Rhinolophus ferrumequinum: one gene and its partners. The protein of the gene in region 2 purifies or fractionates together with the protein of the main gene of each other region. This does not show direct contact. Links are inferred from orthologs where the notes say so. Each region holds a gene or a part of one and is shown on either strand. Other genes may lie near its edges. The genes, in order: DNAAF10, PPP1CC, CCDC85C and PEAK1.

Region 1 (6,841 bases), on a different chromosome or scaffold from region 2:
CTTTCTTCTTTTCCTATATCTATTTTTAAAATGTTCAAGCTTTGCGCAGTGGCAGTATCCTAGCCAATGAGGTTTATCCATAGCGTAATTACGGCTAATTGAAAACTAAAATGTTCTATCGTTAACACATCACTTTTGTTTAAAAGGCCAAATTATTTTTAAAATGCATGAGACTCCTCCAGAATCTCTACAAAAAACAAAGAGCACTATTTTACTTTATGAACAAGTATATTCCTAAAATGTACACAAATGATATAGTTTTGTAAAAAAAGTTACAAGTCTGTAGATAGATGCTCTTTGGTTGAGCTTTGATTGGTATTTGTTCCTAATACTTCACCGCTAAGTTTCTTTCTGCTATTCTAATATTTCCCATCTGTTCAAACCCCTGACCCCAATCGAATGGTCAATAAACCAATATTTAAATTTCCCAAGTTATATTATTTTATAGACATACATTTACTCATTCTTTTAACAAATAATTTATTGAGTGACTGCTCCTTATATACCACACTAAAGAATGACACCTTCCTTCCTCTCCAGGAGCTTACAATCTACCATATTTTGCCGTGTATAACGCACACTTTTTTGCCCAAATTTGTGAGGGAAAAACAAGGATGCATGTTATACACGGGTAGTACTAATTCCGCATCTATATAAATGTTTTTAATTCTTTTATTTCTGCTTATGAGTTAAAAGTGTAACTCTAGAAAGCAGTAACGATATCCATATGCAAAATAATACCCTGGAATACGATAATCAGTTTTGTTGAACTTACCATGAACTTGCAACGATGAAGAGTTCTTGGCCTTCTACAAAGCGTAAATATCATAAATTTGTTACCAGTACATAAAATTTTTTGTACTTTGTACTTGTTCTTGTGTTTTGTGATTATTTGTTACATAAAATTTCTTGTACCGTAATATGATTAAAAATAAATGCTAAAATTCCTTTATAATACAAAAAACAAGTATCTAAATGTAAACAAATAAAAATTTGAATTAAAAAAATTAAAACAAAAGGTTTTTTCCCTGAAAGTTTGGGCCAAAAGGATAGGTGCACATTATACACAGGGAGTACATTATACAGAGCAAAATACGGTAATTAGAGATAAATGGAACAGAATGATATAGAGAGGGTGCCAAAAAAATGTATATACATTTTAAGAAAAAAACCGTATTAAAATTACGCTGATGGTAACCACTTTGAGGACCTTTTGTAATTGCAGAAGTCAAACGTGATTTGTATTCATCTTTTGTTATCGGTATATATTGAGCATTACAATTTTAATAGTTTTTCCCTTTCTTAAAATGTGTATACATTTTTTTTGGCACCCTTTGTATTTCAGGCACAGATAGTAAGTACCATAGGAATGCAATGTAAGAAAAGTTACGTTGTGTGGGGATCAGCAAGAGACTTCATAAATCAAAAAATCTGAACTGGACCTTTAAATAGCAACACGTAACTGGGAGATACAACAAAAGGTAGAAAAGAACAAGCCATGTTTATTCAGAGTAGAGTGCCTGACTAGAGAAGACAAACTGACCAAGAAACCTGGCACTCATAGAAAATTAAAGTGGAATGGGGCCTTACATACCTCCTAATCTAATCCTTCCTATCGAAATTGTTTAACCCCTTAGTCCTCCAAGCAGATTCTCTCCATAGCTTTTGATCCTTGGAGTTGTCAACCTTCCCTGTAGTCTATTACAACCCTAAACATCTGAGTATGACAATTTTTTTTTTTAGGCAACCCAAATCAAGGCATTTTTAAAACTCTAAATTGGTATAAAAATGTTAGTTAATGTCACTACTTTCAAATTTTCACAAGTAATCTCTACGAAACTCGTAAATCTGGGCTTGCCACACCCGGCTTACAGCCCTTCAGTGATGTCCCATTTTTCTTAGAAAAAAGGCATAAATCTTTAAATGACTTACAGGTCTTGCAACGCTGGTCCCTGCTTACCTCTCCTGTTTCAGAAAATAACGTCTCTCCCACCGCTGAGCTTCCGCATATGCTGTTTCCTCTGGAAACCTCCTTCTCTGCTCCTAGTTTGGCCTAGTTAGTTTCCACTCATCTCAAATCTGGTTTTACTCTCATAGAACGGTGTTCCTTTACGCTAGAGTTCACCTTGGTTTGTATTTATGCATCGTTGGTGTGATTATTTAACTGATACTTTCTCCCACTAGACAACTCCATGAGATCGGCGACATTGTCATTCACACGCCTGGGAACACCCGTCAATCAACTGATACTTGTTGAAAGAATGAATGTTAGGTTGTCTCCTCCAATTACACCGCAGGCATCCCGGTGCCTGCTTTGGCTCTGCCTGTGTGAAGAAGCATTTTACTAACAGGGGCCTTATTGACAGACTCTCCACAAACTGCGCACTGCCCAGAAGGGCCTCGAATTTAGACCCGAAGTCGGAACGTCACTTCCAGAGATTTCGCTCGGGATTGTGGAGGTGGGTGAAGGAAAGGGCCGGCAGGGCGCGGATGCACAAGCCCTCGGAGAATTCAAGACTCCAACGTAAGCATTTTACGTCGAAGTTATTCCTCAATCTTCAGTCATCTCCGCTACTCCCGCGCAGCTTAAGCTGTGCTTTTAGGGGACCCTGAACGAAAACTTTGCCAAAAAGAAATGCAGACCCCCAAGATCCGCACTCGTCGCCAACGGCACTCCCAGATCCTGGAACTGGGCAGTCTCGACCCTGAACCCACCTCCCGAAGCAGCTTTAGGTCCCCGTGCTGGATCTCGTACAGCTGAATGACGCCGGTACCCCGTGCGAAGTTGCCCATGGTCACAAATTTGGCGCTGCAGGGCACCCACTTACAGTCAAATACCGTGTAGTTGAGGCCCTTCTGGATATGGGCGATGATCTGAGGCTTCTCAAAGGCCGACATAGTGCAGCCGACTTCGCCTCCTCCGACTGACACACTCAGACCCTGACAAAACACTAACCTGGAAACCAGACTCCAAACAGTAATGACAGTTTGTCCTTCCCACTTGCCGTACTCGTCCCCGAACGCCCTAGCAAGCTGGATGTAGTTGTCTTAGTTAATGCCAGATGTGCTCCTGAAGTCACACAAGATTTTTCTTCACCGATGGCACAAATTTGTTCATTGCCTTTACCTACTGCCTTTCGCACATATTCAGATGAGAGATCACAAAATGCTCGGGCTGTGGCGGGACCAGAGGGAGACCCTAAGACTAAGGCATATTGTAGGATAACCCCCTTTCCTTCCCAACAAGCACACACAGAATCGGGCTTGAAGTCCCCTGCGTGGGACCTCTTAGGAAAGGGGGCGGAGCCCTGGGGTGGGTTGGCCGACGCTGGAGCCGCCGCGGTGCCGCCGCGCACGTGTTCGAGCCGGAAGCGCCGGCTGCTCCTGGAGATTTCTGGGGATGGCGACCGAAATGGAGGCACAGAGCACCGGGGCCGAGGACGGCTTCACCCAGGTCACCCGCAAGGGTGGCCGGCGAGCGAAGAAACGGCCGGCCGAGGAGATCTCCGCGGCGGGGAAGGACGGAGACGCGGGCCCCATGGACACGGAGGAGGCCCGGCCCGCGAAGAGGCCTGTCTTCCCGCCCCTCTCCGGGGACAGGTTCCTGGTACTGGCGGGACCATAGGACAGGAACGGGGTAGAGGCCAGAGGGTGGTCAAGCCGGTGGCCTTTGGGTGATGTTGAAGCTGCGGGGCCTCTTCTGGGGTGAAGTTTTTGGAGAAGTGACTCGGCTGAAGTTTAATTCTTTCAGTTAAAGGAAGCTTTTTTGAGGATCAGCTGTCATTTTACAACTCCGCCCCCATTCCTCCAGACATCTCGACTTGTGTGTTCTTGTATTGTAGGATGGGAAAGAAGAAACAAGAAAAATTCCAGTCCCAGCTAACAGATACACACCATTGAAAGAAAACTGGATGAAGATATTTACTCCCATTGTAGAACACTTGGGACTTCAGATACGCTTTAACTTGAAATCGAGGAATGTAGAAATCAGGGTAAGGAGAATGTCAACCTTTTCCCAATACACTAGGGTTTCTCCTACAGGGATGAAAATGCATGAATAGATTTTCCTCACTGGGACTTATTTTGTTAAATGGTTTTCTCCCAGTTTTCTAATTTAGTGATTTTTGAACTTTTCAAATGCCTTCGGAGTCTGCATTTAATACATATTAGTTGAATTCATATATATCGAGTCTGATATATGAAGTGAAGAGGTTGTCATAAACATAAGTATGTAATTAATGAGCTGAAGTATGTGCTGCAATACAGGCAGTATATATTTTAATGGTATTATTTTGGGGGAAAATGTATTATTTTGAGAATAAGTATAAATTATATATATATGTATACACACACACATCTATGTCTACATATATGTGTATATTTTTTTCGTTCCATGGTATCAGTCCAGGAGTTATACAATTAAAATTAATTGACTTTGGGCTTTTTCTGAGTGCCAATTTTGTATCAGAATCAAAGACCAAAATTAATTATATCTTCCTTTTTGAGGATTGTTATACTGCCATCAGGACTGGTATAGACTCCTCTCTGCTGAGGGACTAGAATAATGGAATAAAGCTGAGAGGCACTACTCCAAACTGTTGGTAAAGTTTAAAATATAGAACTTGACAGTAGAGGTTCTTGCCACTTTCATTCAGGTTATTATGGTTTCATGCCAAAACTTGTTTCCCTTGCTTCATTGCTTTGTGTTTTCACCACTCCATCCTGTATGCCAGAGCCAGATTCATTTTCCCAGATCACACTGATTTTATTATGATACCCTGTTATCTTCAGTGTGTCTGAAGGATAAAAGTTAAGTTTTTGACTGAACTTGCCTTTCAAGTAGGTGTCTCATCATCTCTTTGAACATTTTTATGTCCATTCATACGGATGGGTTTCCTCTCTCATGAAGGCCCTCCCCTCCCTACATCCTTTGTCTTCCTCCCTGGGTGCCATTCATCTTCAGGGTCTAGCTCAAGTTCTTTCTCCTTTATGATCGCTCCATTTTTCAGTTATGTCTTCAGTGACTAAACTGTCATTGCACTTAGCCGTCCTGTGTGTTGCAGCGTCATCACTAACACTCGTTGATACTGCCGTATGCTAAGCAGTGGTGCTTGGTGTGCAGTGCTCCATTTTGGCCTTTAGAACAGCCCTACGAGGTAGCTGACATATCCCCGGCTTATGGATGTGAGGAAACTGAGGGTCAAAGGAGTGTCGGCCAAAGTCATCAAGATCATAAGTGACTCTTGATGCTAGTGGCGACCTCTCAGGATCTCCTATTCTTACCTCCTTATTTTACAGATGAGAAAACTTAAGACCTAGAGTATCTATGGGACTTGCCCAAGGTCACGTATGGGATTGGGGCTGGGGTCTAGTTTTAAATGTGTCATTATATAACCCTTGTATGATTTTAAATTTGCCAAATAGTTGGTCTCCTCAACTAGATTGTGAGTCTGTGTGGGAAAATGGAAATAACAGTTCTGCAGTCAGACCTGGATTTGAATTTTTAACCTTTTTCACTTTTTAGTACTTTGGTTTCCTCAAATATAAAGTATTTATATCACTTAAGATTCAGGGTTGTCAGGAAGCAGAACTAGAGTGTGTCAAGCATCTTTGTAGTGCGTGTCATTTACAGTGGTATTTTATGAATAGCAGCTATTTCTGTGATTATCAGATAAACTCTGAGGGCAGGATCCCTGCTTACACCAAGAATGGTAGTCAGTACTGGAGTTGGTGGTCTGAGGATGGAAGTCCTTCGGCCTGTGAGCCACTGTGCTGCGCCAGAGGCATCTCGCTGTTAACCCCCAAGGCAGATCAGTCATGGAGTGCAGCCAGACACTGGACAGTCTGTGGGTGGAACTGTCCAGCTCTGGAGCCGGGCAAGTTTTGTTTTGCAAATTAAACACAGTACTTACCTCACCCAAAACTGGGTCAGAGAGAAAATACTGGGGCGGGTGGTGGTGAAGGAAATTACAATAGTGGGCAAGGTCATTCCTAGTATTCTGTTAGAATGTTATTTTTTTCATCCCCACCTACAATTTGTGCCTTTTTTTTAAAACAGACTTGTAAAGAAACCAAAGATGTTAGTGCTCTGACAAAAGCAGCTGATTTTGTGAAAGCCTTTATTCTCGGATTTCAGGTGGAGGTGAGTGATTTCATGACATCTGAAATAGGGGCTTGAAACATACTCAGTATGATTGTTTCAGTGGATTTGGGCATTTATTTTTCCATTTGAGTTTTGTACAATTTGTAAATTTTAGCTTAATGCTCATTCTCAGTTATCTAAGTGGAAAGGCGTCACAGTATTTATTTTTATATTGTAGGACGCACTTGCCCTCATTAGGTTGGATGACCTCTTCTTAGAGTCTTTTGAAATTACAGATGGTGAGTATGTGGTAGTCGTTTATTGCAAAATACTGTACTTTTATACTGCTGACTTAGTATTGTGTGTGACACCCCACTTTCTAATAGCATCAAGTGAGCTGTATTAGCAGGTTTTTTAAAAAAATGTATATTTTGTGTCTTTTAGTAGAGAATTTTCGTTAATGAGTAAACTTGACGTGGAAGTGGGTGGTGCACTGGAATGGCTTGCCTAGAGGTCTTGCTTTTCTTATTAGTGAAGCCCCTGAAGGGAGACCACCTGTCGAGGGCAATAGGAAGAATCGCTGGCAAAGGAGGAAAAACCAAGTTCACCATAGAGAATGTGACACGGACGCGGATAGTTTTGGCTGATGTGTAAGTATGTGATCTTAAGAAAATTACTGTCATGATTTATATTTGATCTTTGGCTGGTTTCAAAAGATCATAAAGATTGTATTTTATGCATAATGTTGCCACTAAATCT
Region 2 (7,733 bases):
CCCTTTGCCAGACTTAGTTCCAAATGGCAGTGCAATCCACCCTCCAGACACCAGGACAGCTTGCTGCTTTCCCGACCGCGGAGTGAGTCATTTTGTGAAGCTACGGAACATTTAGCAAGGCGGTAATCATCCTTATTTCTCTGTTGGGTAAGTCCAGATGGAAGTATATTTAGGGCCTTCTCAGAGAGACACACCCAACATCAACATGGACTCCATGAGGGCCAGGGATAGTTCAAGAAATTTGGAAAGGCCCATCTAAACCCCGCTCCTCGGAGAAGGCTTCTGGACACATCCCAAAGAATCTACTCTCTCTGATCATGAGGAATGGCCATGAGCACAAAGACTGGCACACAGTAAGCACTCAATAAATGCTAGCTATTGTCACCATCATTGTTCTCATTATTACTATTATCTCTCCAAGTACATTGGGAAGTTCATTCTCACAACCTTTTGAGATGAGTGATATCCCCATTTTGCAGATGAGGAAACTGAGGCTCAGAGCATGGATGTTACGTTTTTCGTCAGCCCCTCTCCCTGATCTCACAGTTCCCACTCCTGCCGACCTATAGTCCATTCTCCTTACAGACACCAAAGGGATCTTTTAAAAATGAAATCAGATCTTCTTTAGGAGAAGATGCTCTCTGGCTAATGAGGTTATATGATGTTATACGATCCAACATTTCTTTATGATTTAGGTCTTTTGAAAAATTAAGAGCAATGCCACGCTTATGTAAGACATTAACATTAAGGGGAAACTGAGTGAATGGTATATGGAAACTCTTTGTATTATCTTTGCAACTTCTCAGTAAACCTAAAATTGTTTCAAAAAATAAGCTTATTTAAAAACCAAATCAGATCACGTCACTCCTCTGCCTAACACCCTCTAGTTGTTTTCCATTAGGCTTAGAATAAAATCTGTCTTCCTGGGGCCTACAGGGCCCGGAGTGATCTGGCCTTCGCCTACTTCATCCTTCTCTCCTAACACCCTCCCCCTCACACTATACTCCAGCCACTCTAGCCTTTTCTCCATTCCCCCAGTGCTGGAATATTGTTCCTACCTCAGGTCCTTTGCACTTGCTGTTTCCTTGATGGGGGACTACTCTTCCATGATTCTCTTTCTCAATCTTCTGATTTTGACTCAAATGTCAAATCCTCAGAGTTTCTCTACTATGTGGTGACATGATCCCTTCTAATTCTCTCACAAAACTCATGATTTTCTGGAATTACCTTCTTTGACTGTTTCTCTGTTCCTGTCTGTCTCCTCCACTAGACTGGGAGTTCTATGAGAACTATGCTGATTTGTTCACTGCTATGTCCCCAGCTTCTCACACAGAGGAAGGCCTCAAGAAACATTTGCAAAAAAACAATACCAGTGTCTGCTGGTAATACCACAGGACATTGAAATAAAGCTGGGGACTCTGTCGAAGGGCTTTCACCCGTATTTTTTCCTACGGTTTCCTACTTTATACAAAACCTTCACAATATCCAAGTAGGTCCAGATTTTCTGGCAAACCTCATCAACAACATTTCTTTGAATCATTTAACAATAATAACGCTCATTAAATTGGAAGGGGAAGAGTTCACCCCCAAAATTCTAGAATAGAGTTACAAATTGTTGGCCTAGGGCCAAAAGTAGCCCACAGATGTATTTTGTCAGCCTCACACAGTGTTTTAAACGAATTGGAATTCATGACCAACTTAAAAATTGGAACATTTCACATAAAAATCCATATGCCCCAAATTCAAGTTCTCTTGAAAACTCAGAGGATCTGGCCACACCGTATCCCACAAGGCTCCAATGGAGCAGAGTTGGGAAGTGGCCACACCTTAGATGGCTCTCCAATTCATCACACACAGTTCCTACCCACCTGTGGTTTAATTCTTTCATGTTACCAGCTTGGCCCATTTAGGCACAGGGTCCTCAAAGCTTACAGTATCCTTAGAAATACTATTGGTTCAAATACTTTAGCTACACCCCCCCGCTTCAAATCTTTTGTGAAAGCTCAATGTCTAAAGCAGATAATAGTAATAATAGTTAATTTTGATAGAGTGCTTACTGTGTGCTATGGTTCTTACGTTGGTTGACTCCAGGAGTTGGGGACCAGAACCCTATTAGCTCCCCATCATCTTCAACAAGCCCCTAAAAAGCTCTGTGGATCCAAGGAAGACAGTTCGAAAAGTACATTTTTATCTACTCTCCTCATTTTACAAATAGACAAACTAGAGAGGGGAAGGGACACACCATCTATTTAGACAGTAGCTTTTCTGGCAAATGCTTGTCGGCTGGTCCTTGGGGAGGTCAGAAAAAGGCCAGTAGGGGATAAGGTTTTTCGTCCCAGAGCTGTTGGCTGTGTTCTGGGAGCTGTTCAGGCCTACTCTGTGAGCTTATGCCAGTCTCAGGCTCAGAGCCAGCTACTTCTTTTACACGCATGCCAGCAAAACTGGACTCTGGAGGGGAGTAGCCCAGCAAAGAATGGCGTGTGGACAAAGAGGCCCTCCCCATGTCCCAGTCCAGTCTGAAGTCCTTCTCCAGCCCCGACGTCAGCAGATGTTAACACACCTGCTATTTTGTATATGGAAAATTATGGCACTCTCACTGTGGGTGGAGACACACTTAGATCAGTCCATTGGGTTCCACATTTGTTATGTGCCTAGTGTGTGCCAGGGTTGTGCTGGGTGCTGGGGATTCAGTGGGGATTTATTGAATATAAGGGCTTTAGTTTCTGGCTGTCCTGAGTTCCAGCCCTGGCTCTGTAACTTACTACCTGTGTGACCTTTGGCAAACAACCTAGCCTCTCTGTCTCATTTTTTTTCACCTGTAACATGGGTGTGGTAGGAATAGCACATAATTTCTAGGATTGCCTTGGGGATTCAGTGAGATAGTTTTGGGCACATACTAAGAAGATGAGTACAGTGTTTGTTTTCTTTCTCCATTGCACTTATTAGAAGCTGATATTTTTATTTGCATCTTTGTTTATTGTCTGTCTGGCTCACTAGATGACTCTCCATAAGAGAAGGGCCTGGTCTGTCTTGTTCACTCCTGCTTCCATTCCTAGAACAATGCCTGGCACAGAGTAGGTGCTCCATAAATATGTCTGCTGAATGAATCGCTTTCATATTCCTGCTCTAATTGTCATTGCCAGGATGGCCCTGTTCTGGAGGAGCCCAGAGTCTCAACTCGTCCAGGGAGAGCCACCCTGCCCTCCACAGCCAGCTATTCACAACAGCGCTGGGCATCCACTCCGAATGTCACCAACAGGGCTCTGTGCCCTGGGCTGACAAACAACACTTGTGTGTGTTTTCTAGTGAACAGAGCCACAGCTCTGGAGAGTGCAGTTGGTGACTGGGTAATGAAACAAGTCGCTGAGCAGAGCAGGGGGTGCTCTGAACCTCAGCGCTCTGGAGACAGGAGCCGGTCCACGTGCAAGGACTGGCGCCCTGCTGTGCTTACCACCCCCACCCGCCACACACACACACACACACACACACACACACACACACACACGTCTAATCTGAGGATGGATGCCCGGATGGTGCAATCACCTCCATGGCACTTGGGGATGGGAATTCGTGCACCCTGCGTGCCTTGAAAAACAAAAGGAATTTCTCAGGGGAGGGGAAGGGCTTTGCAAACTGTAAATCGCTGCAGGAAAAAACAGAAATTAAAAGGTCAAGATCCAAGAGAGCAGATGTGTTTTCTGAGTGTGGGCTGTACATCCAAACCCAGATAAAGGAGACCCGCAAAGCCCGGAGGTGTTTGGGGGCTTCCTGTGGAGAGATGGACTTGGGGAGGCTGGGAGGCCGAGGAAAATGGGCCAAAGTTTCCTCGCGTGTCTGCAGAACCCAGGACCTGCCAACAATTCCTGCCCCTGCAAACTCGCTCTTCTATACCGGCCTCCAACTCCAACGCGCGATATCTGCAAATTCTCCCCTTAATTGCTACAAACGCTCGTTCTCCTTCGTTCTGGCTAGAATCAGGGTAACCTTTCACATGATTATATAATTTACCGAGTTCAAGAAAGATAACCCAAACATAAGGACGATGAAAAAAATTGAGGGTAGATTAAAAAATTTTTTTCGCCAAATGTAAAAGTTATGGAGCGCACACAAAACATATATACAAATACCCATATTCCCACCCCTCAGAATGAATAACTGTTAACATTTTGATTTATCTGGGAGAAGATTCTTTTTTATTATTATTAGTCACCAAATAAATCTTTCTCTTTCCCGCCAAGTCTCAGCAAATTTGAATCCAAAATAAGTCAATCTACTTCTATTATTCTCCCTCTCCACCTCCAGCCTAGGTTTATCTTAAGGAGTGAATTCCAGGACCCCCGAATTCCTTCGCTGGGCTTCCACATAGCAGGTCAGCAAACATCTGGCCCCAGTGAACAGCATCCCGCGGAGGCCTTAGTTCTAGGGCGCACAACATCTTTTCCCCCATCCTCAACTACCGCGTGTAACTTTGCAATTCACGCTCCCGCCAGGGGGCCTATTTGCTCGGCCCGTTTGGCGGAAGGATCCCACGCGCGGTCGCAGTTACGCTAAACCGTCTCCTCCCCCATTCCCGCGCTCTGGCCCCGCCCCCTTCTCGCGCCCTGTCCCCGCCCCCTCCCGTGCGCCCTATGGCCCATAAAGAAGTCCCGGCCGGGCCGCTGCACTCCCCCGCGCGCATCCGTGCGCCGCCCGAGGCTGCCTAAGGAGTCGGCGGCCATTTTGTTCTTCTCGTGGTTCCAGTGGGGAGAGAAGGAGGAAGCAGGGAGCGGGGCGGTTGGGGGGGGACCCGCAGCGGCTGCTGCCACCGCCGCCACCACTGCCGCTGTGCTCGTGGCGTGGGAAAGGAGGTGTGAGTCCCGGGCGCGAGCCGCCGGCGGCGCCGCTGCGGGAAGGTCGGCGGTGGGAAGGCGATGGCGGATATAGATAAACTCAACATCGACAGCATCATCCAACGGCTGCTGGAAGGTGAAGGGGGCGGCGGGTGGGCTGAGGGGAGGTGGGTGGCCTCGAGGGCTCGCGGTGGGGGGAGTTGGGAGGCCGGTTGGGCTTGCACAGCGGAGGGGAATGAGCCCGCGAGTTGGCCCGCGGGCTGGGGGCTTCTGCCGGAGGAAGGCCGGCCTGGGTCCGCACTTGGCCCAACCCGCGGACTCTCCCGGCTCCACTCATTCATTGCACTCGAGTGCAGCCTTCTTCCTGGTCGTGGAAATTTGAAAACTCTGCTCCCCACCCCCACGTTTCCGGTCGTACCCCCTTGCACCCCATAAACCGGACCAATCTTTGGAGGAGAGAAGGTTAGGGACCCCAGTCCAACCTGCAGGACGGCGTGTTCCGTAATTTCTGGTACTCGTCCTCTCCGATAAAGCGATTTGATGGGATGTGGGTTCCACCGGGTTGAAGGGCTTCTATCCTGTCTTGCTCATTTTTATTTTCCCTGGAGCTAGGGTCTGGGGGCTCATTTCTTGTTACTTAGTGACCAGCCTTCACCTCTCAAGGGAATGTTGGAACCCATCTTCTCCTGCGCTCCCAAATACTCTTTTCAAGTCGTCTTTTATCTTGAGGTCTCCGCGCTCTTTTCTGAACGTGAAACCAAGGATGATGACAGTTTCGTTATGATCTTTCCTATGTGCCAGGCTCTGTAAAGCGCTTTGCGTTCGTCTAATAAATTACAATCATGATAGCCAGCGCTTACTATGTGTCTGGATTTTTTTTGTTTTTGAGCACTTTACACAGATTCATTTATTCTGCCACCAGTTTCTGCGAGGTAGGTCCTATTGTTTTTTCCGGTTTTTCAGAAGAAACTAAGACACAGAAGTGAAGTCACTTGACCAAGGTTACACAATTAGTGACAGATTTCAAATCCAGGGAGCTAGGACGCTATGTGTGAAGGAAGGAGGTGTCCAGTGGTTAAGCGAAGGTTAAAATAAAGCTTTGGCTTTGGCTGACCTAAGACTCGTGAGATGCATTGCAATTGATTCGTATTGATGTGGGAGACGGAAGAAGTTAGGATCTTAAAGAGGGACGCTGGAGTGAACTCCCTCCTCCGCCTCCGGTTCCCAGAGCCCGTCTACTTTGGGAGATTTCAAATCCCTTTATTTGGGCACGGGATAATGTAGATTTGGCTGAGTTTTAACTTCTTTAATGCCTTTACATTATCCTCCTAGAATATTGTTGGACTATAAATACTGTGAGATGGAGTTAACAGCATGATGAACATGGAGTTAGAATTTTCAGATCTTTTGAATTAAGTCATTAAAATGAAATTCCTGAAAATATGTTTTCTTAATCTGTGCGGGGTATTTTCCTTTTATATGTTATTAAAAGAAAAGGAAAAAACCTACTGAATGGACCCCTGAAAAGCTCTTGAAATGCCATTCCCATTTGTGGGTGAAGACCTTATCATTCATTCAGTACCTGCATTTATTATAAGAACCATGCTTTTCATACTAGTTAATGCCGTTCTTTGATTTATATGATGCAGCAGTGGTCCAGAAACAATTGAACCAGTTTGCAATAAGAAAGGAACTTTTTATTAAAATTTTCATTTAAAATTTTGAAGTTCTGCACTTCTCTGCAGGGATGTATGGCTAGATTGGGGGGGGGGGGCTTTATTTCACTGAGGAAACAGGAAAATGTGAAATCTATGGATTAGAAACAAAATTTAAGATCAGTTAAGTCTCGTTAACTTAAGTTTTGGTTTGCCCATAATTCTATTCACATAACAGATTTTGTAAATTTTAGTCTTATTTTTTAAATTGTGCTAAGAAATTTGCCTTGGTAAACTTGGATCATTTAAAATGAAATCAGTCATTGTTTCTTAATAGTTTCTCTCTGTTGTTATATTGTACTTAAAAACCAGATTTAAAAATTTTTTTTGTTAAAATTAATATAGAGTAGTATGTTTTAGTGCCTTGGGAAAAGGCCAGCTGCACAGTATACTTATATTCCTTTTTTTATTTCTCATCGATGTTAAGTTGGCAGAGAAATGGTGATGATCTATTGAATATACATATACACACATGTATACTGTGTTTTCCCGAAAATACGACCTAGCCAGACAGTCAGCTCTAATGCGTCTTTTGAAACAAAAATTAATATAAGACCTGGTCTTATCAGGTCATAATATGATAAGATATAATATACTGGCGTCTTATATTAATTTTTGCTCCAAACGACGCATTAGAGCTGATTGTCCGGCTGGGTCTTGTTTTTGGGGAAACACGGTATGTATAGATTCAAGTTAGAAGATGTTTATAATACATTTTGTGATTTTTGTAATTTTCCAAAAACCCTGTTCCCCAAAAATTTTAATTAAGATTTAAATATATCTGAAAATGGAGGCAGTGTGATTTTGGGGGACCTTGTTAGAATTTTTACATGTTCAGAATTGCCTCATCTTTTAAGCTAGTTGAAAAGTAGCTCGTTGATAGTACTGAAAAGGCAACTCAAAAGTGAAGTCTTTAAGAAAAACAACATGTTGATTTAGATCTTAGTCACCGGCTTTGCAGTTCTTTTTTTTTTGCACTTTCAGTAGTTTTTCCTTAAGCTAAGTATCACTTGTGCAACCCACCTTAGAAGCTCTTATCCAAGTTTTGCCTCGTTGATGATAAAACTTTATAAGGTTATTTCTCTTTTTATAACGAATGTTTGATTGTTTAAATAACTGCATGGTAAAACTTGGATTTAAGAGAGAAAATAAGCTAGCTGCTGATTTGGTCTCATATCCCTACAGTGTT
Region 3 (7,865 bases), on a different chromosome or scaffold from region 2:
CTCCACTTTCTCCTCCACTCAGGCTGAGGCTCATTATTTGTTTTATCTACAGCCTGCAAAAAGGCGTTTCTAAGAGAAGGGCCTTGCCTTATTTCCAGGCACCCTGTTCGTCTTGTTGGGAGAACAGCTCAAGGCCACCCATGACTTTAAGAGACAAAACTAACAGTAGCTGCACTGTCTGCAACTGAAATCTGTGATAATGATGCTGAATTTTCAGTGCGCCCCAAAGCACAGGTCTGCCACCACAAAGCCTGCAGCAGTCCTGTTCGCAGTGTGTGGGGGACCTGGGGGAGGGGTACATGATTCTGCAGGAAACCCTACACCTCAACCCCCACCCACCCAGTGGGGTGGAAACCCTCAGGTCTAGTGCAGTTCCCCACTCCTGCATCACTGGCTGCTGCAACTGGCACACAGCCAGACAGGGTTCGAGTCCCCTTGTCCAAAAGGTGACAGAACTTCTCTGCAAATATGCTAAACACTCAAGCACCTCAGTGCCCTGCAGTGAACCACTTTTGCCAGGTGTCACCAATGACGCAGCTGAAAACATTTCATTTCCCAGCCACAGGACTGAAGCAGTCCCTCCCTATTAATGCACTTGGGGAAACCCAGGCCCAGAAATCTGACTCTCCCAAGGCCCCCCCAGAAGGTGAAGCCAGAGAGGCTAGGACTGGAGTTCCTCATCCCCCAGACCCTGAAACGCCAACACGTTAAACCACCTAACTCTGAGCTACTGCCACTGGCCTTAAGGAGCCTGAGGTTGAAGTGGGGGGAGGGTCGGTGAATACAGAGTTACAAAAAGTAACCGGAGTGGTAGTCATAGATTGCTAATCAGTAACAAAATATCGGTCTCAACCTGGTCCTGCCCTGAACTCACAAGCTGGAAAGATAAATAAAGGAAAAACTGTCCTACACTAATTATCACCACACCTCCAGTTCCCACCCCAGACCCCACCCCAAGGTGCCTTCACAGGCCACTTGGCCACCACACTAGAGAGGTCCCTCCCCTGCTTAGGCTGTCACTCTGGGAAAGAGCGGTCATTTAAGGCCTAGATATATTTTACTCTGAACTAGGGAAGCCTTTAAAAGAACCAGAAAGGGCTGTTTAATCTCCACCTTTGGGCAAACAGTTCAGGTAGCAGCAATTGTCACCAGAACTGGGAACTAAGCCACCAAAAATGTGAAAGAACAGGGAGGTAGGAGAGGAATGAGGCAGCAGGGAGGAGGGCAAACGATCAGGGGAGTTGGGACTGGGCGCCACTGTTCCACTCCCCAGACCCAAGCCGGGGGCGCCCTGCACTGGGCCCAACAGTCAGTCACACTGGCCTGGAAGACCTGAGCTGTCATGAGGCCAAAGGTCCCGCCACCCACACACACCCTTAACACCTAACACCATGACTCTTCCTGAAAGGCGACCAACAGTTTACAAATCCCTTCAGAGGCTCTCTCCACCTCAGATCCTGGAGGCAGGGACCACCATCTCCATTCTACAGACAAGGAAACTGAGGCATACAGAGGAAAAAGGGCCAAGGATCCACTCCTGGCACATAGGTTCCTCTGGAAAGTTAGAGCCTCCGCTGAGAAAGGTCTCCCCACCCCTGAGAAGTGCAGGACAATTAACAAACCCAGAAGGCTCTAAGCCCCATCCTCTGGCCCAATGACTCTGGGTCTCATCCTAGCAGCCTGTGCTCCTTCCCAGCCAGCAGGCAGCACGAGGAGGCTCAGGTGGAATTCCAGCCCCAGCACACACGTGGACGGAGCTGGGGGTGGGGAAAGCCTGCTGCTCCGTCAGAGGGAAAATTCATGCATGCTAAAAGGGCCTTTCTTTTTGTTTTTTCCCCATGAAGAACTTCCCACTCCCCGACAAGGGTCTCCGGGCTGGGGTGAGGCGCCCCTGGCCAGTCCTGCCTGCCCGGATACTCATACTGATAACTCTGCAAGACAGAAACTTTTCTGGGGTCTGGTGGGTCCCGGCCGAGCTGCGGCTCAGAAGCTGGGCAGGGACACGCCTCCAGCAATTGAGCAGAAAAAGGCCACCCAAAGCTCTACTGCGGGTGTGCGTGGGATCGCCCTGCCCAGAGTATGGATGGCAGCTGGAGGAGAGGTCTGGAATGGTGGCGCCCGCGGGGGAAGGGGCCGTGACCCGCGCTGCCCCGCCGGTATTGTCCTTACCGTGCAGGCCATTGGGGATGCTTCGGTGGTGCGGTGGCGCCGACAGGTCGTCCAGGGATCTGCGCGTGGCTACGGCTTTGCTGTCGGGGACCTTGTGCGGCCCCGGAGGCAGCAGCGGGGGCGGCACGTGGTGGTGGTGGTCCGGGCTGCCGCCGCTCCCCGCGCTCGACGTGCTGCTGCCGTCGCCCACGTCGCGGGCCCCGGTGCCCGCCGCGCCACCCGCCAGCGGCCCGCTCAGGCTGGCCTGGCTGTCGATGGAGCTGCGGGACCCCGCGCCGCCGCCGCCCGCGCCGCCTGCACCCCCCGCCAGCGCCGCGCGCTCCTCGTCCAGCAGGAGCACCAGCTCCTTGAGCTCCAGGTTCTCGCGCAGCAGGGCCTCCTGGCGCGCCTCAAGCTCGCGCAGCTTCTGCTGCGAGCGGGCCACCTCGTGCCACACGGCGCCAGCCGCGTGGCGCCCGAAGCGCTGCCACTCGCGCGCCAGCTTGCGCCCCTTCTGCCGGTCGTCGTCGAGGAAGCAGCAGAGCTCGCGCAGCTCCTGGTTGTCGTCCTGCAGCCGCTGGTTCACGTCCTTGAGGCCGCGGATCTCCAGCAGGTGCTGCTGCAGCCGCCGGTTCACGTCGCGCATCAGGCCGCCGTGCTCCAGCATGAGGCCCACCTTCTCGCCCTCCGCTCGCCGCAGCCGCCGCGCCAGCTCCTCCTTGCTCCAGCGGAGCAGCTCCTCGTCCGGCACCTGGCTCAGCTCCTCCGACGCCGCCGCCGCCGCCGCCGGGGGCTTCGCCATGGCAGGGCCGTCACCACGGCATCGCCCGCGCCCTCGCCGGGCCGGCGCTCCCAGCGCCCGGGCTGTGCTGGGCCGGTCCGCGCGCGGGTGGGGGTCGGCCGGGGGTGCGTGCGGCCCGCCCCGCGCCGCCTCTCGCGTCCTCACGCAGCGCCTGCCGGGGCCGCCGGGAACCCGCGCGTCTCCGGGCTCGGCGAGCAGGGACCACAGCTGCGTCCGCCGCCGCGGTGCCAGGCGCTCCCCGGACTCCGGCGAAGCAGGCGGAGGCCCGCCCCCGGCCCAGCTCCGGGAGCCCCAGCCTCCCCGCCCACTCCGGGCGGGGAGGGGGCGGGGCGCCGTGGCCCGGCCCCGCCTCCGGGGGAGCGAGGGGGCGGGGTGAGGCGCGGCCGAGCCCCGACATCCCCCCGCGCTATGTGCCCGCCCGCCAGGCGCCCTGCCAGAGGCGCGTTCGAGCCGCGGTCCCGCCCTCCCGCCCATCCGATTGGGTCTCTTCGGGGGTGTGTGGGAGGGGCGGGGCGCACGCGGGGGACGCCGAAGAGATGGTACAGTCCACCCACTGGGCTTCCAACGCTCCCCCATCCCCCCGGCGGTTCAAGTTTCTGCGCCCGGAGGACGCTGCCTGGGCCAATCCTAGGGCTACAGGGCGCTTTTAAAATGCAGGTACAGTATGGGGAGGGCGACGGTGGGAAAGGTAGGGCCGGGCTTCCCTTAAAGGAGACGTGCGGAATTGCGCGCAGAGCCCCATCCCAGGCCCTCGACCCCCGCCCACCCTCCCCGTACCCAATAAACACCCACGACCCGGAGGACAGCTCCCGTTCTCCCTCCCGGGGCACCAGAGTCCAGCTCAGTCTGAGATACAACGAACAATAGGCCTGTGACACGGGGGTCGCTCTCCCGGCGGCAGGGCGGCTCTTTGTCCCCTACCCTGCCCCCTGCTCCTTCACCCCCATCTCCACCGCGGTGCCTTGCCGGAACTCGCAGAGAGCTTGCGTCTCCTCTCCAGCCCGGGGCTGTGGCTCTATCTTGTGAGCACGGGGAGGGCCAGGGCCTCGCCCGCGGTGTCCCGGAGCACCTCACCCTATTCCCTGCCCCGAGGGGACAAGGGCGCCAGGAACGTGTCCCCGCCCCGAGCGGCGCTCAAAGCTCCACTCCCCGCACACCCGGCCGCCGGTCCCAGGGACAACGGGGGGAATCTGCGATTCGCAAGGTGAAAACCTCTGGGACAGTGGAGAAAGGTCTCCCACTGGGGCCTTAACACCGGGGTTGCAGGGCGCCGAGCGGGCTGCAGAACCCCCTCCCAGCCGACAGCCTCGCCCCTTCCCACAGCCTGTGAGTCTGTCTCGTTATCCTCGTGTCCCCGAAGAGCATTTACGGCTCGTCTGCTGAGAGCAGAGCGGAGGGGGGGGTGTCGGTCCCCCGGGACCTGCAAGGAGATAAAACCCGCGCACTCGACCGTGAGCAGCCACAGCCTGGAGCGCGCGCCCGCGCAGCAGCTGATGTCCCCATTTACAGTTGCTCAACCATTCACCCGACACCCGTGTTCGCAGCGCCTTCTCTAGGCCAGACCTGTTCTAGACTCCCAGGGGTTTCTGCAGGGGACGACAGCAGAGGCCACGGCCCTCTCGGGGGAGAGACCCGGAGAAGATAAACAAATTAGGTAACTATGAGACTGTAGTAAGTGCTGGGCTGGGAATTAAGACAAGCTGCTGTCACAGAAAGTGATAATCAGTTACTTTAGATCCCGTGGTCAGGGAGGACCTCTGAGGAGGTGCATCTAATCTGAAATCTGAAAGAAAAGGACAAAGACAGGAGGAAGGGAACCCTAGGTGGAGAGAACACTTAGTGCAGAGGCCCTGGGGTTGGCCTGTTAGTGGCCTATTCAAGGAAGGCCAGTGAGGCTGGGAATGGACAAGGAAGGGGGGTGAGAGATGAGGCCAGAGGGGCCAACTCATGCCTGGTTCTAAGGCAGCTGGGAAAGCAGTGGGGAGTTAGCAGGAAGCAACATGACCCGATTTGCCTTTTCGGAGACTCGCTTGTAGGCCATATGTGGAGAAGGGATTGGGGGTGAGGGGTGTGCACAGAAGTCCAGATTCAGTACCTCCTTCCCCCCACTCCCATCCACTCCTCTCTGCAGGTAGATGTTCAGGAGACCAGGTGGGAAGAGCATGGGCCTGAGGGGCATAGCTTGGAGGATTAAGCCCAGGGGAGCTGACATTCCCCCAGACCCTGGCGAGGCCGTTCTCCCCTTCTGGGGCACTGTGCTCCACAGGCCCAGCCATTTGGGTTTGGAGAGAAAAAGGGTTTCAGCTCATATTGGGGAGGCCATGGGTCTTTCTCACCCCAAGAAGCCAAATTAAACAGCTCCATGAAGGCTCCCCCCACCCAATGAAGCCTGGGCACAGATCTGCTTCTGGGAGAGTCAGAACTGAGCATACGATGCACGACTCACTAGGGAAGTCTCAGGCAGGATTAACCCTGTACTTGTGGGAACCCCCTTCCCATTTGCCTGTGGCTTTTCATGCTTCCTGTGGCTTGCATCCCCTGATCCTCCTCCCCTGGCAGCTTTAGCTGAACTTTCTGAGAGAAAAATGAAGCCTCCATCTAGATGAGGTTTGTTTGCATCATCTACAGACGGCGGGACCGAGAGTCCCCTGGCCAAGAGTTCCACAAGAGCGTCCCCAACATCACTCTGGTGCAGCAAAGACAAAGTGCTACAGATGAGGCCACCGGGTAGCTTGAGAGGAAGTCTCTGCTCCCCGCACCATGGCGGACAGGCTCGGGCAGAGCAGGACAGGATGGCAGAAGGCTGAGAGGGCCCACAGCTGAAACAGGCTCCTGAAGCAAGAGGGCCATCTAAGCAGGAGACCCACGGGCCCACAAAAGGCCCACATCCCCAGGGTCCAGTAAGAGGCGCCAAGTCCCCTAGAATACTCAAAGCCCAGCAGACCCTGTAGCCCGAGCCAGGATCTCGGAAATGTCACATGTCTGCTTTTTAGCCCCTGGGACATGAGAAGCCCTGCCTTGTCATGAAAATGGTAAAGCCAGATCATGGACCTCTAACACAGTAATTCTCTAGATAGCCACCCAGTCAACGGACTTGTGGGCCTTTTAATAAAGATGCACCACCAATCCCCAATTTCCCCCCCAGAATCTCCTAGACTGTATGTGTCCATTTAAAGCCACACGAATGTTTTTGAGAGCCAGCTGGGGCGAGAGCCGGTATCCTAACACAGAGTAAATAAAGTATTCCAAAATACCCCAAAATATTCCAAATTACCACCCTGGTGGTAAGTGATTGTCTCCCCACTGGGAAGGGAAAGGGCTCTGTTACTCTCCTGCGTGACTGGGGCACGCAGGTTACGCAGGTTACCGTGACTGGGGGTGCAGGTTACCATCTGGTGTTTGCTGAGTGAATGTGCGACCCTTCGGTGCATGGCCCACTGAGTCTGAACCCTTCATTTTGAAGATGAGGAAACTGAGCCCAGGAAGGTCACTTTCATTGCCCAAGGTCAATTCATTCACTGGTTTTACTGAACACAAAAATATTACATAAGACTTTACACATAAATGCGTGTATATATATATATACACACACACGTATATATACGCATTTATGTGTAAAGTCTTATGTAATATTTTTGTGTATATATATATATATATATATATATGCGATCATATATACGTTGTAAATTGTACCACAAGAGATGAGCAGAACACGTCATTTTGGAAGCATCTGAGACACTGGGAGCAGCTTCCTGGAGGAGCTGACGCTGGAGTTGATTCTTGAAGAATGAGTAGGAGTTTGTCAGATTGTTAGGAGGGAGGAGAGGGTCAGGATACTCCAGGTGGATGGACCAGCACAAGCCAAGGCCCAAGGTGAGCAGCAGTGAGGGTGTGTCCAGACACAGCCACTGCTGGAGTATAGGAGTGGAGCTGGGTGGCAAAGGGCTCTGTGAGCCGTGGGAGGTGGTATCACCCTCTCCCTGGGGCTTTGATAGATAACAACAGCAACAACAGTAATAATGATCACCACCACCTACCACTTGCCCGAGCTCCGTCTGATTCTAAACCAGCCCTCACGTGATGGTTTTAACAGCCCTAGGAGATGTTGTCATTAGCTCTTCTGGCATTGAACATGGATTCCTGTTGGCTTGGTTGTTTGTTTCCACGAAGCTAAGATCACCGAGTGTGAACTTATGGGCAGTGTTCAGAGGCCGAGGAAGGTGGTGTGCCCAGCAGAGGGTTGTGCTACGCTGAATGTTTACGATGCCCATGGAAAAGGGCCCGTAATTCTTGACACGGATAGTGTTGAAGGCTCGCTTCTGCGTGCCCACACGTGCTAGGGTTTTACACAGATGGGCTCATTGAGTCCTCACTGTCGTCCTGTGAGGTAACAGTTCTCTATCCCCATGTTACAAAGGGGTACACTGAGGCTCACATGGCCCCCACCCCTACTTGTGAAAGCCAAAACGATCTCCATACCTTGCCAAATGGCCCCCGGGGGAGCTTCTGCTGTCCTAATACCCATTGCACGAACATATTACTTTTACTTTTCTCCTGTTGAAGATTTGTTTCTAGTTTTTTGCTTTAACCTGCAATGCGGCCATGGATGGATATTCTTACACACATATCAGAATGTACATGAGCATGAACTTGGCTCACGTTTGTGCCGAGACACAGTATGGCTGGGTCATACAGTGCACACAGCTTCAGGGTGACCAGATGACGCCAGCTCCTTTTCAAAGAGGTGGTGCTACTTCGCACTGCCGCCAGCGGGGTATAGAGTGTGGCTTGCCTGTCCTTGCCAACGGCTGGTGGTGTCACTCTGGTGGGTGAAGCTTTGTGCACTTTCCACGACCCACTTTGTCTCCCTTGGGGCTCTCAGAGCACAAGAGAAGCCCAGGCCAAATTTCATACA
Region 4 (8,018 bases), on a different chromosome or scaffold from region 2:
CTTATGTGAATGGTATTGTGTCAGGTATGACAGGAGGCACAAATAGGAATAAGAGATAGTCTGAAGCCTTTTATGGCAGTACATAAACCATACATATAATAACAATAACAAACCGAAACAACAATAGCAGCAGCACTGAATATTAAATACTGTAAGTACAAAATGGAGGTTCAACTGAGCATGTATGATTGAGAGACTGGAAAGACAGACATCAAGAAATATTTCTTGAAGTTGAAGATGGTACCTGAGAAAGGGCCTCAAAGAAGGTGGCATCTGATAAGGATTTTTAGGGAAAGCAAAAGTATTTCAAGGCAGAGGACAGCATGAACAAAGATAGACAGGATATAGTATAGAACTTTTTTTTCAGAGACCAACCTAGTTAGGAATGTACTATAGATAGCTAATGAGAGATATGGTCATAGTGTGAAGGGTGTTGAATGTTAGGCTTAGCATTTAAATAGGCTTAGAAGAATGGGTCTAAAGTCTTTCCACAAAAATTCAAATTACTTTAGTGATTCCTTAACCTTTTCTTAAAACTTTTCTATTATGTATGTTTTCTAAAGTGACCATGGAAATTAGTGATACCATGTTTCCCCGAAAATAAGACCTAGCTGGACCATCAGCTCTAATGCGTCTTTTGGAGCAAAAATTAATATAAGACTCGGGCTTAGTTTAATATACCAGGTCTTATATTAATTTTTGCTCCAAAAGATGCATTAGAGCTGATTGTCTGGCTAGGTCTTATTTTCAGGGAAACATGGTGTCTCCTTCTCACAAGAAACGAAAAATAAAATCTTGACAGCTAAGTGAGCATGCTATTAGGGAAAGACAGAATTTCAATAATCCTAGTACTGTATCCTATACTTTTGGGAATATGAAAGACTTAAAACAGTCATGTGGGCAAATCCCAATAGCTAGAAGAGCAGAAACAAGACTGAGAGGAAAATAATAGCATTCATTAAGCTCATAATAACAGCCATTGTGCCTGGTGATTTACATATAATATCCTTGATCCACCAAACAACCCCATTTAGGTTTATGGCAACTGAGGCTCAGAGAGGTCAAGTAAACTGCTCAAGGCTGCCAAGCTAATAAGCTCAGCTAGTAAAATGTCCACACCAGTTTTGAACGCAGGGCTGTGTGATGCCGTATTTCCCCCATTGTTCACTTTTGTTTTTACCATATAAAGGAGTGAGTCTAGGATGGTAGGATCATAATGCATGTGTTAATGAATGAGGCTGAATATTTAACACATGGGCTTGATGGGGTGGAGGAAAAACAGGTTGAAATTTTCAAAACTGGGTTTAGAATGGCTTGGAGATCAACCCTGAGAGAGATCAAGTGTAGGGTTGCTTCTTGATCCAATCTGAACGATGATCACACTACAGATCTTACTTAGGAATAGTAAGTAATTTGGAAATGAGAGTAAACTCCAATAGAACACGGGTATTTGTCTGTGTTCACTGATGCACTCCAAGTCCCTAATACAGTGATTAGCACACAGTAGGCCCACAGTAAACTTTTGTTGAAATCACAAAAAGTCATGTAAGAGGTATTCTCATTTGAACACTCTTGAAGGCCCTGAAGTACAGGTAAAGATTGCAGAGTAATAAGTTTAAAAACCATTCAAAAACCATTCAAGTTATTAGGAGACTCTCTTTAACACTTGACCTCATGGCAAAATCTACTAAAACAACACACGAAAAAGTTATAGTTGTAAAACATTAGTATGATTTTACAAAAAAAGGTAGACAAAAGAATGAAAAGACACTTTTGCATTATATATGGTGTCTAGTGTTTTGTGGCTAATCAAATGTCACTGAGATGAAATACAGAATTTTGACTTACTGCTTTAATATTTCAAACCTCTGTGAACAGTGTATCCAAATGACTGCTTCTGGTTATCTAATCTAAACACTCTAAAAATGGACAAGTTCTTTATTATAGATGGCAACTAATAGAATGAAAATCTCAAATTCATTAACTCAAAGATGTAACAAGAGCACACTTACAAAAGCATTTTTCTAACTTTGATAGTATGGTTCTATTAGAACATGCAAAGAAAACTGCAACAAAAAGCATTAAGAAAAAAAAAAAAAGCCTTTGGGAGATAGCAATCCTCTTCACAGAAACACTTTTAGAGAGAATTAAAAGCAGGTTCGCAGGTTCCATGACTTTCCCTTTATTTTTCACAAGCTTTTCTAGTATTTCTTTTTGGATGGAACCAATGAATAACTACCACTTATCACAAAACATCCTTTCTCAGATATGTGCTTTATATATTGCAATCTTCTGAACAGTTTTTCAAGCTGCTCAAGTCTTTCAACCCCAGCAATTTTTCTTATTTCTATTACACTGCACTTATTCCATGAAACAGCACAGAAACCAATTTAATCAACTTTGCTTTCTTTTTTAAAAAACTTCTTTGCTTTCCGAAGTTTCCAAAAGGCAATACTACTATCTCAATCAATATTTTAACGATGTTTTCTCTTTTTCATTTAGTTCCAATCTTTACTTACTTCAGTAATTCCTAATACTATAGTTTAACAGTTTAATTTGTCAGAATGACCATATCATATTTTCCTCTATATTACAGTAATATAGAAGACAGTGAACACCTTCTCTCTAAGCAATTAATTAATACTTGAGGCAGTCTACATGTCTGTAACCTTATAATGACAACAGACATTTTGTCTTGCCTTTTCAACTACTGCAGAAATGTGGTAGTCTTTAAAAAGATAACTCATTGATTTTTAGGGTCTTAGATCTTTCTTGTCTACAGAAGGTTAAAACATATTTTTTCCCTTTATTGTAACATGTAATTTAAAACATTTTCTAATAAACTCTAAACAAAGTAACTTTTTAAAAGAACTAGAATTAAAATAATTGCAAATTCTGAGGACAGATTAGGTAACAATCTCAAAAGAAAAAAATACACTGGCTTCATTCTTTTAAAAATCCTTGAAGAACATCACAGTTCACTTGATATTCTAAAATTGCTACAGTTGTTGAGATTTCGTAATTTCCAAATAGACTGATTCCTTCGTTATACATCCACCCACCCCAAGTATTGTGGTACTTGAAAACAGAAGCCAAGAAATAAAAATTGTTGAGTGTTCATTCCACTTCACATATAGTTACTTATAAACCATTGATAATATAGGAAACAGAAATTTTTTTCTTAATCATCTTTTGTCCTTTGTGAACCAAATTCCCCCCGCCCCCCACTTAAAATCTGGGCTGAATCTCCTGATTCTTGCACCATGCTTTAAAACCCCAAAGAACAAATAGATACGGCTGTTGAACTGATCTGAATTTAATTAAATCACAAAGGGGGAAAATGTATTCGGCTAACTTTCACAAATGCTACATGTTACAATTATGATTATTTTTAAGTCTGAGGAAGTTGTTCTCAGGCACAGGGCAAACCCTGTAGTCCAAAATCAACAGGTTTAGGAAATTTAAGATACCATATCAATTAAGGCAACACCAAGTATTTGAGTACTTCAGTATGATACTTTCACTCCGGTAAGGTGAACATGCCTCATAATTTATGTAAAATGTCGCGTTCTGTAGAGTTCCTGTGTCATGTCAAGGCAGAGAACACTAAACCTGTCGGTGAAGGTTGGACGTGAGTCGGGGAGCAGAGCTGGACAATTACGAGTTACACAAGAAAGTACAGCATGTCATTTCGCAAAGAGGAGGAGAGAATTTTAACAAATGGTTTCTATTCTTTGGCGAGCGCATTAAGAAAATTTTGTCGGTGAGAAAATTTTCCATCTTACACATTGAAACAAAATTCACATAAATTCTTACTGGAGGCTGGAGATGAGCATAAATTGGTGGAATAATCTAACTTTTCACATAAAACACAATTCCAAACCTTTAAAATACGTGCTGTACTGGCAACAAGCACCACCTTTTCAAGACCTCGCCGGCACAGGAAGTGTGGGAGGGACACCCCCAAATCATCCCCCTACCCCACAGGAAGTGAGTTGTTTCCCCTCCCCCAGGACGGCCTTCTTCCCCTCCCCCAACCGGAAGTGAGGCGCCCCCATTCAGTCGGCCTCAACCCGAGACAAACCAATTAACAACAGCAAAAGAGCGATGGTCTTCAAGGGGTGAAGGGCACCCCCACTGTGGCCACCCCCAAGCTCGCCTTGCTTACTGACCTGCTGACGATAGGGGCAGGCAGGGGCCTGGGGCTAAAGAAAGTCCCTGCACAGAGGACAATTCTCTGAGCCCCTCTCAATCGCATTCACTCTTCTCACTCCGTCGTCTCGCAGCTTGACAAAAAATTCCTCCGCAATACTTTATTATGATATCCTTCTTTCTTTACGTAATTGTTTAACTATCTTCCCATAGGCAACTTCTCTCATCGCAGTAACATTTAAAATTGTTTCGGTAAGGAGAAAAATGAAATACTATTCCCAATACCTTCCGAAAAATGAAGGGATTATTTTGTTCAAAAGCGGCGAAGGACTACGTGACTACGCAAAGCGAGACTTATTTTCGCGAAGGTTTCTGGGAAGTGTAGTTTTTAAGAATTGCTAAGGTCTGCAGTAAGTATTGTAGCTTAAATTGGCAATTACTATCGAATGGAGTCCTTGAAAACACAAGTTTCGTGTTCGACGCAGGCTGACCTAGGAGGCTCCGGCACCAAATGGGCCAATACTTTGTTTCCCTTTTCCTCTAGAACTTACTTGAACCGAAATTTCCCTTCATGCCGGCCCGAGGTTCTGGTCGTCCCGCCCTCCTCCTTTGGTCACACTCTCCTTAGCCAATCAGAAGCCCTCTAGGTCTCATTCTATTGGGGTAGGAACACGAGAAGGCGGGGCCTCACGGTGATACCTCCTGAGGGACGGAGGCGCGACAGGGCAGAGAGGGTCGAGGGCTTGTGCGCGCGTGCGGGCTCGCTCCTCAAGGAGCGCGGCGGCGAGTGCGCGCGCGGAGGGCGGTGCGCGGGGCTGGGAGGAGGCGGGCGGGCTGGCTGGTGGGCTGGGCGGGCGGCCGGGAGCGCGCGGTGGACTCGGCGGCGTCGAGTAGTTAGTTGTTGTTAGTGTCAGTTGGTCGGCGGCGGTGGCCGCGGTGAGCAGGAAGGGGACCGGCCGGCTGGCGATGGTGGTCACCGCGGTGGCGTGTGCGCCCCTCAGGTAACGGGGGCAAGGCTGTCCGCGTCCCCTTCGTCCCCTTCTCCTCTCGCGCCGGCTTGCGGAACCAGGGTCGCCGCGAGGTGAGGGCGCTAACTGGGGGGAATCCGGGCGGGGCAGCGCGGGGTCTGGGGAGCGCCGCCGCGGGGGCTCGGGCGGCGGCCCCGGCGCGGGCTCTGCGGCCCCGGCCAACCCTGCGCCCCCCCGCCCCTGTGCCCCCGGGGCCCGCCGGCACCGCGCGCCCCCTCGCGCCCCTTCCTGCGGCGGTGGCGGCAGCGGCGGCGGCCCCGGTAGCTCGGCGCCCCCCAGAGGAGGGAAAGTTGGGATCTGGCGGCGACGGACGTCTCCGGGCGCGGCTGGGAGCCTGGTGGGGAAAGTGAAGGCTGGATGGGGGAGCTGGCCGGCGGGAGCTTGGGGCAGGAAGGGCTCCCGTCCTCTTGCTAAGTTCGCATGGACGTCTCGCCCCGATCCCCGGAGCACCCGGCGCAGCCTAGCCAGCAGCGCCTGGACGAAACCGGTGGCTCTTTGCCTGCTCACTTGGGGCTGCGGTTTGTGAGCCCCCTAACTAACGTGCGGCTTTGCTTGGTTGGTCGGTTTGTTTCTCCTTTGCCCTTTGACTCATCCCGTTCTTGCAACTTTTCTTACCTCCCGCGATGGGGACTTGCGGTCTGAACCCCCTTCCCACCTCCCTCCCCGTCGCCTGCACCACCCGTCTGAGAGTTGGATTTCGTGTTTCGTCCTTTGGTGACGTTAAAGACTGCTGAGAGCAACAGGAAAGAGGAGCCCTCCCACCTTTAAATGTTACTTTCTTGCAATCCGTTATTATTTTTAAGACCCAAGTTTAGGAATTTGAGAGCTGTGGAATGGAGTTGTTGGAAGGCTGGCGTTTTGACGAATTAAAGGAAAACTAGATTTCATCTTTATTGGCCTTGCTATAGGAAGCCTAATACATTTTCCTTCTGCCTCTGTTAAATATGGTAAGAGTATACGTTAAATTACATATTTGGAGACCAACATACAAGGCTATTTTTTAGGTCATTAGATGATGTATGTCAACAGCTTTTCACCCGAATTGGGATGGCCTTGAGGATTCTGTTTTGGGGCCTACCTACTGATTTTTGTCTACCAAAGTAAATGAAATGATGTAGTAATGTGTGTATTTGGCAAACCCATATTGCTCTCTGCGGTGTGGAAGTTTTACGTGAATTATCCACAGGGGTAAAACTTTCCATGTGCAATCTTGGATACCTGCTTCTTGATGGCTTCCGTAATCTCAGAACATTTCTAGACAGTGCAATTCACTGACTACCTTAATTATTTTCTGAAGTGCTTGGCACTTCTCTTTGGTGACTCGTTTAGTAAACTATAATGGCAAGTAGGGTACATTTTCATGGCTTCAAATATGGAGTTAGAGTCTCAGCCCAGAGATTAACAGTTAACAATGGAAGCAGAATTCATACCATTGCTAGTGAGTTTTGGCTATGACCAACTCACAAACTATGTGAAAAACAAACATCTTTCCATAGCTGTCAGAGGGGAAGAGGAGAGAATATTTTATCATGTCTTTATTTTGGAGACTCTAACATGGCTGTATTATGTGGGAAAAAATGTCAGATTATTTTCTTTAAGGATTTTTGATGTGTGGTCCTCCTCTCCATCCCTCTACCCTCCATTGAGGGGCTGACATTTATGCTTGGCTGGCTTCCAGGAAGCGAAGAAAAGTGTTTTGTTGAAAGGAAAAGATAAGATTGCTTTGAACTATTATACTATGACTATTCATTTTACCCAGTACAAAGAAATGTCCTTGATAATTTTTGTACCCCATTAACATGCTGTCAGAATTCATTTTTAAACATACCCCGAGGCCCATAAGGAAATAATGCCACTTCATAACTGTTCCTGACAATCACATTAAAAAGTTGTTCCTGGAATGTGTTATGCGTGTATTCCTATAAACATTTATCTTTGTATATTTATGGTAATGTAAATATTTAAGTCTGTGAGCTTAAAAACTTTGATTTGCTTATTTGCATACATGTTTTTCAACGTCTAGCAGTACCAACCATATTTGCCAAATAAGCATCAGCCATAAATTCATGCTCTGGCACATTTCATATAGTAACTCTTTGAAATTGCTCCATGGTGAAGCATCATGAGATTAGCATTTCTTCGTGAGAGAGATTTGTTGTTGTTGTTAACTGTAGTGACGTGCTATGTAAGTGGAACAGGTGCGGGGCTCTCGCTGTTTGTGTGGAAACCTGCCAGATCATACTCTTTTGTTGGATGGGTTGTTTAAGTAATTTAGAAACCAAACTGTGGCTCCTGGCATGCCAAGTGTGAGTTCATGGCTCCATATCATTGCTGCAAATACCTATTTTCACTGCAAGAGGCAAGTGTGTGTGATGAACTTTATTTTCTCATTGCTATTCTCTTTACAGTAATTCCTACTTCCCACCATCACCTGAGTCCTTTCATTACTGGAGAGCTCCTGGGAAAGTCGAGGCTCCTTCATTACTGGTTGTTTTCCTTGGGGAAATTCTAGTAACTTTCAGGCCAGGAATTGATAGTTCACATTTGTTTGACACATATTTCGAGTGCCTTTTAAGTGTTAGGCATGGTGGTAGGCCCTGAGTATATGTAGAATGATATCCCTTTTTGCAAGGAGCGTACAGTTTAAGAGAAGATAGCTGATAACCAATAATTACATTGTGATGTGTTGTAGGACAGGTATAAGCAGATTCTTATGGATGGAAGCACAGAGGAGCAAGGGTAGTTGACTAACTACCCACCAAGACTTAGGGTCTTGGTGGCACGAGAGTGTCCTGTAATACTTCTTAGTGGGTTACCTGAGCTAGTCTTCAAAAATTG

Evidence for each region.
Region 1: the proteins of PPP1CC (region 2) and DNAAF10 purify together in Homo sapiens (affinity purification with mass spectrometry; 7 studies listed by BioGRID and IntAct, counting the BioPlex papers as one, with this or other methods). This does not show direct contact. The link is inferred for Rhinolophus ferrumequinum from reciprocal best matches to the Homo sapiens genes PPP1CC and DNAAF10.
Region 3: the proteins of PPP1CC (region 2) and CCDC85C purify together in Homo sapiens (affinity purification with mass spectrometry; 5 studies listed by BioGRID and IntAct, counting the BioPlex papers as one, with this or other methods). This does not show direct contact. The link is inferred for Rhinolophus ferrumequinum from reciprocal best matches to the Homo sapiens genes PPP1CC and CCDC85C.
Region 4: the proteins of PPP1CC (region 2) and PEAK1 purify together in Homo sapiens (affinity purification with mass spectrometry; 6 studies listed by BioGRID and IntAct, counting the BioPlex papers as one, with this or other methods). This does not show direct contact. The link is inferred for Rhinolophus ferrumequinum from reciprocal best matches to the Homo sapiens genes PPP1CC and PEAK1.

What each region holds. Positions count from the first base shown.
Region 1 is NC_046296.1:22,363,030-22,369,870, reverse strand, and holds the start of DNAAF10 (dynein axonemal assembly factor 10), read right to left. Parts: upstream 3,007-6,841; 5' UTR 2,899-3,006; coding exon 2,716-2,898; intron 1-2,715. Other genes in the region: RNA-binding protein PNO1, read left to right, coding at 3,401-3,607, 3,843-3,992, 6,059-6,142, 6,321-6,381, 6,615-6,732. UniProt on the Homo sapiens protein: Key assembly factor specifically required for the stability of axonemal dynein heavy chains in cytoplasm.
Region 2 is NC_046308.1:6,336,621-6,344,353, reverse strand, and holds the start of PPP1CC (serine/threonine-protein phosphatase PP1-gamma catalytic subunit), read left to right. Parts: upstream 1-4,716; 5' UTR 4,717-4,910; coding exon 4,911-4,965; intron 4,966-7,733. UniProt on the Homo sapiens protein: Protein phosphatase that associates with over 200 regulatory proteins to form highly specific holoenzymes which dephosphorylate hundreds of biological targets.
Region 3 is NC_046289.1:4,646,815-4,654,679, reverse strand, and holds the start of CCDC85C (coiled-coil domain-containing protein 85C), read right to left. Parts: upstream 3,017-7,865; 5' UTR 2,951-3,016; coding exon 2,170-2,950; intron 1-2,169. UniProt on the Homo sapiens protein: May play a role in cell-cell adhesion and epithelium development through its interaction with proteins of the beta-catenin family. May play an important role in cortical development, especially in the maintenance of radial glia.
Region 4 is NC_046289.1:100,468,658-100,476,675, forward strand, and holds the start of PEAK1 (inactive tyrosine-protein kinase PEAK1), read left to right. Parts: upstream 1-5,016; 5' UTR 5,017-5,233; intron 5,234-8,018. Other genes in the region: HMG20A (high mobility group protein 20A), read right to left, coding at 4,173-4,258. UniProt on the Homo sapiens protein: Probable catalytically inactive kinase. Scaffolding protein that regulates the cytoskeleton to control cell spreading and migration by modulating focal adhesion dynamics. Acts as a scaffold for mediating EGFR signaling.